Canis lupus familiaris: one gene and its partners. The protein of the gene in region 2 interacts with the protein of the main gene of each other region in a pairwise test. Links are inferred from orthologs where the notes say so. Each region holds a gene or a part of one and is shown on either strand. Other genes may lie near its edges. The genes, in order: TSPAN4, CREB3 and CGRRF1.

The links.
Region 1: the proteins of CREB3 (region 2) and TSPAN4 interact in a two-hybrid assay, tested with the Homo sapiens proteins (2 studies listed by BioGRID and IntAct). The two-hybrid records come from large-scale screens. The link is inferred for Canis lupus familiaris from reciprocal best matches to the Homo sapiens genes CREB3 and TSPAN4.
Region 3: the proteins of CREB3 (region 2) and CGRRF1 interact in a two-hybrid assay, tested with the Homo sapiens proteins (2 studies listed by BioGRID and IntAct). The two-hybrid records come from large-scale screens. The link is inferred for Canis lupus familiaris from reciprocal best matches to the Homo sapiens genes CREB3 and CGRRF1.

The regions. Positions count from the first base shown.
Region 1 is NC_049239.1:45,634,021-45,637,763, forward strand, and holds the start of TSPAN4 (tetraspanin-4), read left to right. Parts: upstream 1-1,219; 5' UTR 1,220-1,357; intron 1,358-2,358; exon of another isoform or gene 2,359-2,516; intron 2,517-2,617; exon of another isoform or gene 2,618-2,835; intron 2,836-2,902; exon of another isoform or gene 2,903-2,926; intron 2,927-3,743. Other genes in the region: POLR2L (DNA-directed RNA polymerases I, II, and III subunit RPABC5), read right to left, coding at 1-93, 877-971. UniProt on the Homo sapiens protein: Structural component of specialized membrane microdomains known as tetraspanin-enriched microdomains (TERMs), which act as platforms for receptor clustering and signaling.
Region 2 is NC_049232.1:52,554,001-52,557,743, forward strand, and holds the start of CREB3 (cyclic AMP-responsive element-binding protein 3), read left to right. Parts: upstream 1-1,243; 5' UTR 1,244-1,639; coding exon 1,640-1,732; intron 1,733-1,837; coding exon 1,838-1,985; intron 1,986-2,074; coding exon 2,075-2,142; intron 2,143-2,256; coding exon 2,257-2,346; intron 2,347-3,743. UniProt on the Homo sapiens protein: Endoplasmic reticulum (ER)-bound sequence-specific transcription factor that directly binds DNA and activates transcription. Plays a role in the unfolded protein response (UPR), promoting cell survival versus ER stress-induced apoptotic cell death.
Region 3 is NC_049229.1:30,721,800-30,725,542, reverse strand, and holds the start of CGRRF1 (cell growth regulator with RING finger domain protein 1), read right to left. Parts: upstream 2,542-3,743; 5' UTR 2,477-2,541; coding exon 2,373-2,476; intron 1-2,372. UniProt on the Homo sapiens protein: Able to inhibit growth in several cell lines.

The DNA of each region.
Region 1 (3,743 bases), on a different chromosome or scaffold from region 2:
GCGTAGTTGAGCAGCTTCTCAATCAGGTCCACGTGTGCCAGCAGCATGCGGCGGCAGCAGTAGCGCTTCAGGCCCAGCGCATCCAGGGCATCTCTGTGGGTGAGGGGCAGATCACACCCGGTTGGGGCAGGCAGTCCTGGGCACACGGAGGACCCGAACCCTGCTGGAGCAAGCCCCCCCTCCCCGCCCCCGCGGAGGGAGCCGTCTCTCTGCCGTTTCCCAAGCCGATTAGAGTTGTCAGTGTCCCTGGGGCCCAGCCCCTGTTGCCCCAAGGGCTTCCAGAAAATCCCCAGAGCACTGCTCCGACGTGCAGCGCCGCCGAGCTGGGAAGCCGCAGGGCTGGGCGGTTCCTGCCCGGGGCTTCCAGGGCCTCCGGCCGGTTCCCTCACACTCGGTCTTTCCGACAGACTCCCCAGCAACCTGGCCTCCCCGCTCACCCCAAACGCCGCAGGCCGGGGTTAAAGGTGCAGACGCCCGCGAGGCCGGTGCTGACGCCCGCGCTGACGGGCAGCGACGGGAGAGCGGCCCCGGGACGGCCCGCTCCGCAGGGCTCCGTGGCCAGGAAGCCCGGCCCACGACCCCAGAGCCGCGGGCTCGCGGGCGCGGGGGCCTCCGAGGGCGGGAGGGCAGGGAGCCCCGAACTGCTCCGGGCAGGAGCCACGACCTGCCGGGGTCCGTGTGCAAGTCCCCGCGGTCCCGCAGTCCCGCTGCCCGCCTGCCCCCTTGCTCGCGGCCGGCACCTGGTCCCTCCGGGGCCCCCCGCGCCCCGCGCCCCGCCCCCCGCGCCCCGGCCCGACCCGCCGGCCCCGCGCCCAGCAGGGCCCCCCCCGCCCCCCGCGGCCCCGGCTCCGCACGCCGCCCGGCCCGGAGCCTCACCCCTCGGTGTACTCGGCCTGCAGCAGCCCCAGGTAGGCTTCCCACTTGTTGCCGACGATCTTGCCGCAGGTGAAGCAGCGGACCGGGATGATCATGGCGCTGGCGGCGGCGGCGGCGGCGGCGCGGGGACTGGCAGACGGGGCGGCGCTTCCGCCCGGGAGCAGGCCCCGCCGAGGGCGCGTCCATGGCGCGGGGGGGAGAAGTCCCAGTCCCGCCACGCCCCCGGCCGCCCCCGGCCCGCCCCCCGGCCCCACTGCCGCCGCCGTCCGTTCCCTGCCGGGCCGAGCTCCTTCCGCGCGGACCGGGGGCTCCGGGGCCCACGCGGCCGCTACCGGAGCAAGCGTCGCCCCCCCCCCGGCCCTTCGCCTTGGTACGTCCCGGCCTACGGCGGCCTAGCGGGACCGAAAGGGCCCGACGGCGGCGCTTCGCCTTCCTCGTGTCCGCATGACTGACAGCTGCGCGGCGGGCGGACCGCGCGCAGGTACAGAGCCGGTCCGCGGGGATGCGGCCGAGGTCCCGCCCCTCGGAACCCCCGACCGGGACCCGGACCCGAGCCGGGGCCGAGCCGAGCGGGCGCAGAGTTGGAGCCCCGAGCCGAGCCGCAGCAACAAGTGGCGGGGCCGGGCCGGGGCCGGGGGCGCGGGGACCCGCGGCGGGGGGCGGGGGCAGGGGGGCCCCGGAGGGACCTTCCCGCGGCCCCTCCCGGCCCGGCGCGGCGAAGGCTGTCCCCGCCCCGGCCCGGCCCGCTCGGCCGCACTGTAGCCCCGACGGCCGGCTCGGCCGCAGCTCCTGCCCCCCCAGCGCCCCAGCCTGCCCTCTGCGGCCCTGGGGGAAGGGCCTGGGGGTGCGGGCGGTCGGGGCTCTGAGGACTCAGAGCAGGGCGGAGGCTGGAGCGGGTGGTCCTGGAGGGCGGCGTGGAAGAGGCGCCCTGCAGAGCCCGCGTGTGTCGGGGAGCGCATTGATCCTGGCCGGGGGACCCCTTGGATAGGGCCCTGGAGGCCATACCTGCGGGCAGCTCTAGGCCGCGGGTTCGTGCCAGGGCTGGAGTAGGTGGTGGAGTCAGAGATGGTGGGGCAGCAGCCACAGAGGGTGGAAGGGACGATGAGGCTGTGTCCCTGGGGGCGGGGTGAGGTGAGCTCCTCGATCCGGGGGCCACGGGGGGGGGGTGTGTGCAGATCTGTGTGGGGGGAGGCAGGGAGGGCTCCCTGGAGGAGGCAGACTTTGGGGCTGTGGGGATGGATGTGTTCCAGAGCAGCGCCTGCGGGGGGGGGGGGGGGGGCGGGTGTCAGCTAGTCAGGTGGGCTGGGCATGAGTGGGGCCTGTACTCCCCACCCTCCCACGGTGGGTGGTGGATTCTGGCCTCAGCTTCAGGGAGGGAGCCTGAGGGTCCCCTGGGGCCTGGGAGGCGCTGGCCACCTCTGCCTGGGCCCTGGACAGCCTGCCCAGTGCATTTGTCATCCTCCACGCTGCCACGTGCAGAGCCACGAGAGAGGCCACTTCCCTTCCCAGCTGCCCCCCCACCCCACCCACTGGACGCACATCCTGTGCCTGGACAAGAGGGACAGGAGAGGGGGCCTGGAGTCACGGTGGCCTGGGGTCAGACCCAGGCTCCCCTGCAGAGACTATTGGCAACTGTGCAGGTGAGGGACACAGCGGAGGGGACCCAGGCTGTCAGCTGGGTGGAACTTGGGGAGCCGCTGGGGTGGAAGGCTTCCTGGAGGAGGGGCCCAGGGCCTGCCCCACCCATGCTCCTGCTGGGAGTAGTTGTTTACTCTGAAAGAGTGAGGGGAATGAGCCTCCCGCCTTGATCCAGGCCTGAGCCAAGTTGACATTCCTGGAATTCTGTGAGCTGTGTGTAGATTTGGGGGTGGTGGTGGCCTCTTCCTGGGCTCCTCCCTCCAGCTCCCTGATTTCCAAGGACAGACGGTGGGGAGCATCCCGGCTGCACCCTCAGCACAGGTGTGCCGGGACACCCTGTGGGGCCTTGGGTCCTCTTCTCTGTCTCTATCCTGCCTTCCTCAACCCTGCAGGACACTGGGGAGCCTCAGAGGTCAGCCCTGCCAGCTGCCTCGGCCCTGGGTGGCCTCTGTGTGTGTGTTGTGGGGGGAGTTGGGTTGGGCGGGAGGGAGCCCTTAGGGCCCCAGGCACTGGTGGGGAGGAGGGGTGGGGAGGGGAGCCTCGGGGGCCTGCAGGGGAAGGGGGGCCCTCACTTCTCCTCTCTGGTGCAGTGTCAGCACAGATGTGGCCCAGGCCTCTGGGGAGGGAGACTGCCAGCGTTTGGAGCATAGGGTATCTTGTGGGGGGGGCATAGGGAGGGAGGGAGGGCTGTGCCACATGTGGTTGGGAACCCGTGAGCCACGCTTCCTGCCAGAAAAGGGTCACTGCAGGGCAGGCAGGGGCGGAGGACAGCAGTGGAAGCTTCTGCTGCTGAGACGCTCCAGCCAAGAGCCCGGCCCAGTGTACAGGGAATCAGCCGACCCTGCCCACCAGTCCTGGCATCATTTCTCCGTCTGTAGAGTGTGGGTAGAACCTATAGCTGCCCAGCTGGAGGGACCCAGTCCTGGTAATGCAGGCCTGGCCCCTGCTCCTCTTGCTCTGGGCAGATGCAGATGTGCACTCACGGGGAGGGGGGGGGAGCGCTCTACAGGGTGGAGGGTCCCTGCACGGCCATGCGGCCATGCTCGTATGCCTCCTCTGGGTCACTCAGGGTCCCTTGCCTGCTGAGCCTGCACTAGCCCTGGGCCCTGGGGATTGAGGAGTCTTGAGTGACGATGTCTGCAAGCGTGCTTGAGGCTGTGGTGGCCCTGACCTAGTGACCCCTTGGACGAGCCCGGGCTCAGGGCATTTGGGAACAACACTGCCAGGCA
Region 2 (3,743 bases):
GCCCAGATCCCTAACCTGAAATGAGTTTATCCTATCTCTGGGCTAGAGAACCCCTGAAACTACGTAGGAATGAGACCTCCCTGCAAAACGAGAGCACCTACCTACTGCCAATCTCTTAAATTCAATATATCCAAGGTCAGCTACCCTAACCTCAGCCATAACCCCCATAAAACTAACCCTAATCCCTAATATTAACCCTGACCCTAATTTGGTTCCTGTTTCCCAACACTGGCTTTGACATTCATCCCTTTCCTGGCAGACACCCGTCCCCAATCCTTGATCCCTAATATTGATCTACTTTTTACCTCTAGGAATGAATTTCCTGACCTTAACTCTAAATGTTGATCTCTAAGCCTAAAACTGTTGTCTCACTTGACTTCTGATCCATCCCTTCGCGATTTATCCCTAGTTCCATGCTAATGTTCTCTAATCCCTAAAAAACTGGACTTCTAATTTAAATCCTGTGTTGACCCTTAAACCGGCCCTGAACCCTAACTTTGACTTACGTTGGCCAGAAACAGAATAATGACCTAATCCAAACTCTACCTACATAAAACGGACCCGACTCACACTGGTAACTCTAAATGTCAACTCCGGTTTTTAACTCCGTAAGCTAACCTTTAATTCCTAAACCCAACTCTACCTAATTCCCAAACTCACCCCCAGCTTTCCTACCCGCATACTCACTATCAGCTAACCTCAAAGCCGATCCCCGCCCTGCGCCTCACTGTCACCCAACTCCTCACCCTCCCCAAAACTTATTCCAGACAGAGAGGACTTGATCCCAGGAAAGGCTTGGCTCCCTTAAAACGACCTACTTAACTTCCGATCCCAAGCCGAGATACACTGGACGCTGACCTCTCCAACAGGACCCGAAACAGCGGACGCAAGGGCCCCGCCCGCCCTGCCACCCGCGCTGCCACCCGCGCTCGCGCTCGCTTCCCGGTCCTGGCCGTGCGGCCCCACCCTGAGGCTCCGGCTCGGCCCGGTCCGGCCTACCTGCGCTGCCCGGCTCGTGCCCCGCCCGCCGGCCCGATAACCCGCTCGCTCTCCCGGTGGTAATCGGGCTTCGGCCTCGCCCTCCCTTCGACACTCTCTCGGCCACTTCCGTCCCCGGAACGTCCCCCACCCGCGGGCGGCGCCCTGGGCCCGCGCTCTATGGTTGTGGGGGCAACAGGAAGCTGCTCTGGCCCCAGCTCTCGATGCTCGGGAGCCGGCCTTAAAAAGGCGCCCCCCCCCGCCCCCCGGCCGGCTCCCCCGGCAGGAAACAAGGGTGCGGCGCAATCCGGGAAGACGCCCGAACTGCGCGCGAGTTCCCCTTTGGTCTCTAACCCTTCCTTTTTTTTCAGCCTGGGGCCGAGGCGGAGGCGGCCTCCCAGATTGCCCGCCCTCAGGGTGTGAGGAGGCCGCAGGGACGTCCCCTCTATTTGCAGAGCTCCCGGGACGTGGCGCGCCGCGGCTAGGCCACTTCCGCGTCGGAGGGAACTCCAAATCCCGTGGTGCCTCGGGGGTGTGCGCGTCACTTCCGTGGTGTTGGAAGTTGCGGAGAATCGGGTCTTGGGGGCTGGTGCAATTTCAGAGCGACAGGTCCGGGCTTGCGGATAGGTCTCTCTGTACATCTTTCCGGTTGTTATCCGGTATGGAGCTGGCGTTGGACTTGGGTGACCAGGACCTGCTGGATTTCCTGCTAGAGGAAAGCGGCGATTTGGGGGCCGGGCCGCCGCTTTCCGAGGTGGGTGGGGGCTGCGAGCCGGGGAGGCGCGGGGATCCCGGGAGAGCGTTCATGGGGTGGTGGGTAGTTGATAGGTCAAGGCTTGTTTATTTGAACCCTGTGCAGGCGTTGAGTGAATGGGAGGCAGAGGATTTCCTGAGTTCCATGCTGAGTCCCCCAGCATCGTTGAACGTCCTTAGCTCCTCTGATTCCTGTCTCGTGCACCATGATCACACCTACTCTCTCTCACAACAGCATGTTTCCATAGATCTAGGTGAGTCTGAAATATGATGAGGAAGAAAGTGAGGTTTGAGGGGAGGAGAGGCTTCGTGGGTCTGGCTATTTATACTTTTCGTTTTGCAGATGGTGGGAGCTATGGAAAAGAAGAGGCCCAGACGACCCCACTGCAAGTGGAGGAGCCCGCAGAGCAGGTACTTGATTTATGGCGGGATCATTCCCACATTGCGCGGGTGGGGGCGGATTCCCCATTCCTTTCTGTCATCCCCTTGCAACTCTGCTGCCCACCTCCTGGTAACTAATCCCAGGAGATTGCTAGGCTGATACTGACAGATGAAGAGAAGAGGCTGTTGGAGAAGGAGGGGCTTACTCTGCATGGGACGCTTCCTCTTACTAAGGTAAGACTCCCATTGGTGGGAGTGAAGGCTGGAGGGATGTGTTGTGGATCCCAAGTGTGCACTTCTGTTAACTTTATGTCAGGAAGGACTGAGGTTAGAAAACTTGGCAAATTTGTTGGTAATAGGAAGCTGGAGCATGATGTTAATATGGTGGATGCAGAGGCAGATCCTGGTTTTGTGGGGCTCATACAAGTTTTGGTGTTTTCTTTGAGAAGAATTCAAAATCATCGATGCAACATTAGTGTAGGGTCTTGGAAGGGACTGTGCAAGCAAACTCATGGTAATCCACCTGTAGCTAAATGGTTAGAGTTCATCAAGGCTGGACTAAGTAATATAGCAAGAATAATTGTAAAATCCCAAGTTTTAAGTTTCAGGCAATGAATAGCAGCTTCACAAGCACAGTATTGTGGTACTGTTGTGAAACCAACACTACAGGAAGGTTGAGAGAATTTTCTTAAAAGTACAAGATGGGTTAGTTTGAGATGACAGAGAGTGGGGTTTGAAGGCTGTATCAGTAGAGGTGTTGCCTCTAGAAGGGCAGTGACCATCTTCTTCTCCATTATACTGGCCAGAGCACATCTTAGTGTCTAGTTTTGAACCCAGATCTTTGACAGATATTAAGAGGATGCAGTCCATCCCGAAGAGAGGTGAGAAGTTAATTTTTTTTTTTTTAAGATTTTACTTATTTATTCATGAGAGACACACAGAGAGAGGCAGAGACACAGGCAGCGGGAGAAGCAGGCTCTATGCAGGGAGCCCGATATGGGACTTGATCCTGGGACTCCAGGATCGTGCCCTGGGCTGAAGGGAGGTACTAACCTGCTGAGCCACCCAGGCATCCCGAGAAGTTAAAATTTTTGCCCAGATCTTTTAACTCTGAAGAAATGTTAAATGGCTTAAATTAAAGACTGTTCATTCTGGGATCCCTGGGTGGCTCAGCAGTTTAGCACCTGCCTTCAGCCCAGAGCGTGATCCTGCAGACCCGGGATCGAGACCCACAGCAGGCTCCCTGCGTGGAGCCTGCTTCTCTCACTGCCTGTGTCTCTGCCTCTCTCTCTCTGTGTGTGTGTCTCTCATGAATAAGTAATAAGATCTTAAAAAAAAAAACAAAAAAAAAACCTTCATTCTATATGGTCTCAGAGATAGGTACCAGGTAAGTTCAATTGATAGAAATCATAGAGGCAGATGTCGGTTAGCTTAGGATAAGGAAAATTTAAAGATTTTTTTTTAAAGGTTTATTTATTTTAAATCTTTTTTTTTTTATTTTTATTTATTTATGATAGTCACAGAGAGAGAGAGAGAGAGAGGGGCAAAGACAGAGGCAGAGGAAGAATCAGGCTCCATGCACCGGGAGCCCGATGTGGGATTCAATCCCAGGTCTCCAGGATTGCGCCCTG
Region 3 (3,743 bases), on a different chromosome or scaffold from region 2:
TTTAATAAACTTGAGCTATTAGAGCTCACAGAAACCACCATAGAGTTAAAGAGAAATACCATACTTCAGTGGCATGATTCTTTGCTATTGCTATTGGGATTCCAATATTCAGATGTTCCTATTCTTTCTCCACTCCCACACAGTGCAAGCAGACAAGGAGAACAGTAGAAAGAAGCAGTGGGAAAGAAAATCAGAGCAGTACTGAGATAATGGCGAAGACAAAACCAGTAGGGATTATATTTGGGGAGGTTAAAAGAAAAATGACATGGGTGAAAAGCACAGTGTGGATTCATGGGTTTACCATCTGTCTGGGGGCACTATTAGAAAATTGTTTATATGAGATCTAGATGGTTTGCTTTGTTTCTACTCAATGACTCTGTTGCCTTGGCTTAAGTTAACAAATAAACATTAGTAGAATGTCTTATCTACATGGACAAAGCTAACTCCGGTAAAGGGAATGGTTGGGTTAGGCTCAAGATAACTGGTTAGGCCCAAATCAGAATGAAACTGACTGGCACTTACATAGTCTTGGGGCCTCAGCAATGCTTAGCCCAGTCTTCCAAAAATTCTACAATTAACCTGGCCTTCCACCCTTCCAAAATCATATCTAAATGGAGTGGTTAGGTAATCATTAAGCTTTCAAAACAAGTCTTAAACTTGGCAGAGCCGGAATTTGAATCTAGGTCTGTATGACTCCACTGTCTCCAAAGTCTGTCTCTTAACCACTACAAACATGAGGTACCCGACTACCCTCATCCACAGATGCCGCCATCATTATCACTCTGGCCCTTACTCATTTTCCTCTTCCCAATACTACAGATAGATATCTAAGAAATCTAGTTAGTTGGCCTACAGAAAATTAAAATTTAAGGATATAATGCAATGATCAACTAGTTACCTATTTTCCTTAATGAAGGAAAATTTACATTCTTCTAAGAGAATAACACTAATATTATAGTGATTAAGAAACCCTGTGTTAAGACTGCTTTACTCACTTGGGCAACCAAGTTGCAAATTCCAACTGCAAACTTTCCTGAACAATAAACAGCAATAAAATTTGATGGATCAAGAATAACAAACTTCTCCCATCCATCCACAAACAAGGAATTTTCTGCTCTACAGCTGGCAGGGTGAGGAGCGGTATGGAAATATTAAAACTGGGCTTAGTTTCTAAAGATGGCATGTAGTTTCAGAAGTTAACAAAAGCTTGTTTCCTTTCTGCAAAGTAATTCCATACATGCGTCAAGGGATATTTTAAATTTGTTTTACTCCAGCTGATCTATTCACTGACACGCTTCCTCTGCCCCCCAGCTCATGCTGTATCCTTGAAATGCCTTCCATTCTCTACCAGACACACTCAACTTTATTTATTTCTCAAAATCCTTATCCTTCAATTTTCAGCTCAAGGGGCAGCCCTGGTGGCTCATTGGTTTAGCGCCTGCCTTGGCCCAGGGCCTGATCCTGGAGACCCGGGATCGAGTCCCACGTCGGGCTCCCTGCATGGAGCCTGCTTCTCCCTCTGCCCCGCCCCCCTCTGTGTGTGTGTGTGTCTCATGAATAAATAAATAAAGTCTTAAAAAAAAATTCCAGCTCATGTCTCTCTCCTCAGTGGATGAATTAGTAAGACGGTTTCAAATAGCCGCATTCATAAGGCTTCTCTAATCATGATACGATGGCATCTCCTCGAGAGAGAAATTTTAGAGTCTCTGAGCTAGAACTGCTCAGGGATTACCTAACAGTCCATTCTCCTGGTCTCCACTGGGTAAACTGCCCCTACCCGTCAATGTGATTTATCTCAAAGGTCTTTTCCAGCTCTGAAATTATGACTTTCACAGTTCCATCGACTAAATGTTACTTCTAAAGGCGTGGAATGCATCTAGAAACCATTCAATTCTCACACGGTAACGGAGTTCAGTTATAAGTTGCGCTGAAAGCTCTGAGGCCAAGCGCTCGGTTCTGCCCAGAACAGTCAACTGTGTTCACTGTCCAGGTCTGCGCGCTGCACCGCAGGTGACGGACTCAAGCCTGCTGGACAAGCACTCTACACCTCAACGCCCGGACCAGGCCCTCACCGGCCGCCTTCTCTTTGAGGAACAAAGCTGGGCGAAATACCTCATTCCGGCACCACCCCCAGATGCCCGCAGCGACGGGGACGGCCCAGGGATGCAGGGAGCAGCGATGCAGGTGCACACCGCAACTTGCTGTCCTCCGGGGGCCGGTCGAGGTTCGCGGCAGCGGCTCCCCCGCGGCCCCAGGAGCCCCAGCCCCGCAGCACCCGCGGCTCCGATGCCCTCCCCCTCGCGGTTCTCCGCGACCCCGCTGCCCCAGCGGTCCGCCCCTACGTCCCTTGTTTCTAACCACGCGGTACTTACCATCCCAATACCAGGCCGGTGGTCACGATGAAGCAGGTAAAGACCACCGCGATGTAGAAAAGCGGCGAATACTCATACAGCGTAACCAGAAACACCGCAGCCATCAGGCTCTCCTATACTGAGCCGAGCCCCAGCCGCTCAGCCCGGCCCGGCCCCGCCCCGCCCCGCCCACCCGGCGGGGGCGTGGGGGGTGGGGAAACCACTACGGCGCCTCGGAGCTGACAAACTTTGTACATACGCACTCGCCCCGGGTTCTCAGACTAGGCGTCCGGGCGACCTCGCCGGCTGCGGGAGCCGGACTGCCAATCACGACGGCGCCTGCAGGGCTGGCCCCGCCCCTCCGCTCTCGTCCCGAGCCATTGGCTGGGCAGAGGGGCGGTGCCCTGATTGGACTCACGGGATTGGTACCCAGAGAGCATCTGTCTGTCCGTGGGGTCAAGGCTTTTCTGCGGCAAATTCTAAATAACCCCTCGCGGCCTGCTTCGCCCCAGGCTCAGGTAAGGTTTTCTGATGACCCAGAGAGGAGGCACGGTCCGAAATCCACGTCACAGAGTCTAAATCCCGCATATTGGATCCGTGGCACATTTGGGACGAGGAGAAGAGAACCCGCCGGCGTCATGGGTTCTACAAAGTGAAGCAACCCCGCACCGGCTCTTGTTTTATCTAGAAAAGTTACAATTAGACACTACGAAAGACCAACCGGAGTCTCACAAGCAGTGTGTACGATTCTTGTCCGCCTTTTCAAGTTGGATTTCATGATAGAGGAAAATTAGCATAGATTCTCACAGACGTAAATCAACTGTCCTCCCACATCCTTTTCCTTTTCTGCTTCCCCTACGTTCCTCAAATTAGAATTAGATATTTGAACTTTTAAAAAAGATTTTATTTATTTATTTGACACACAGAGAGAGCACAAGCTGGGGGAGCAGCAGGCAGAGGGAGAGGGAGAAGGCGGCTTCCAGCAGAGCAGGGAGCCAGAAGGGTGGCTGGATCCCAGGACCTTGGGATCATGACCTAAGCCACCCAGGCGCATCAATATTTGAGCTTTTCTGTATTCATTTTTACTTTAAGGACAATTTTAGATATGTCTTATTATATATAAGGCTTAATTTATATGTATATTTAAATATATATCTTATTTATTTATATATATATATATATATATATATAAAAGGCTTCTGCTCAAAAGGTATATATGTACCTAGCAGAAGCCTTTAGGTAAAGAAAGGAGTGAAATGCTCATCCCCATTCAGCCTCCTCCATCCAGGTAGCCTCCCTGGAAGTCTCTCACACCTCCACTGACAGCCCGTCAGTTTGCATTTAGCCCTTAGGCCACATCCAGTTACCCCAGAGACAGGGAAATGTCTTTTT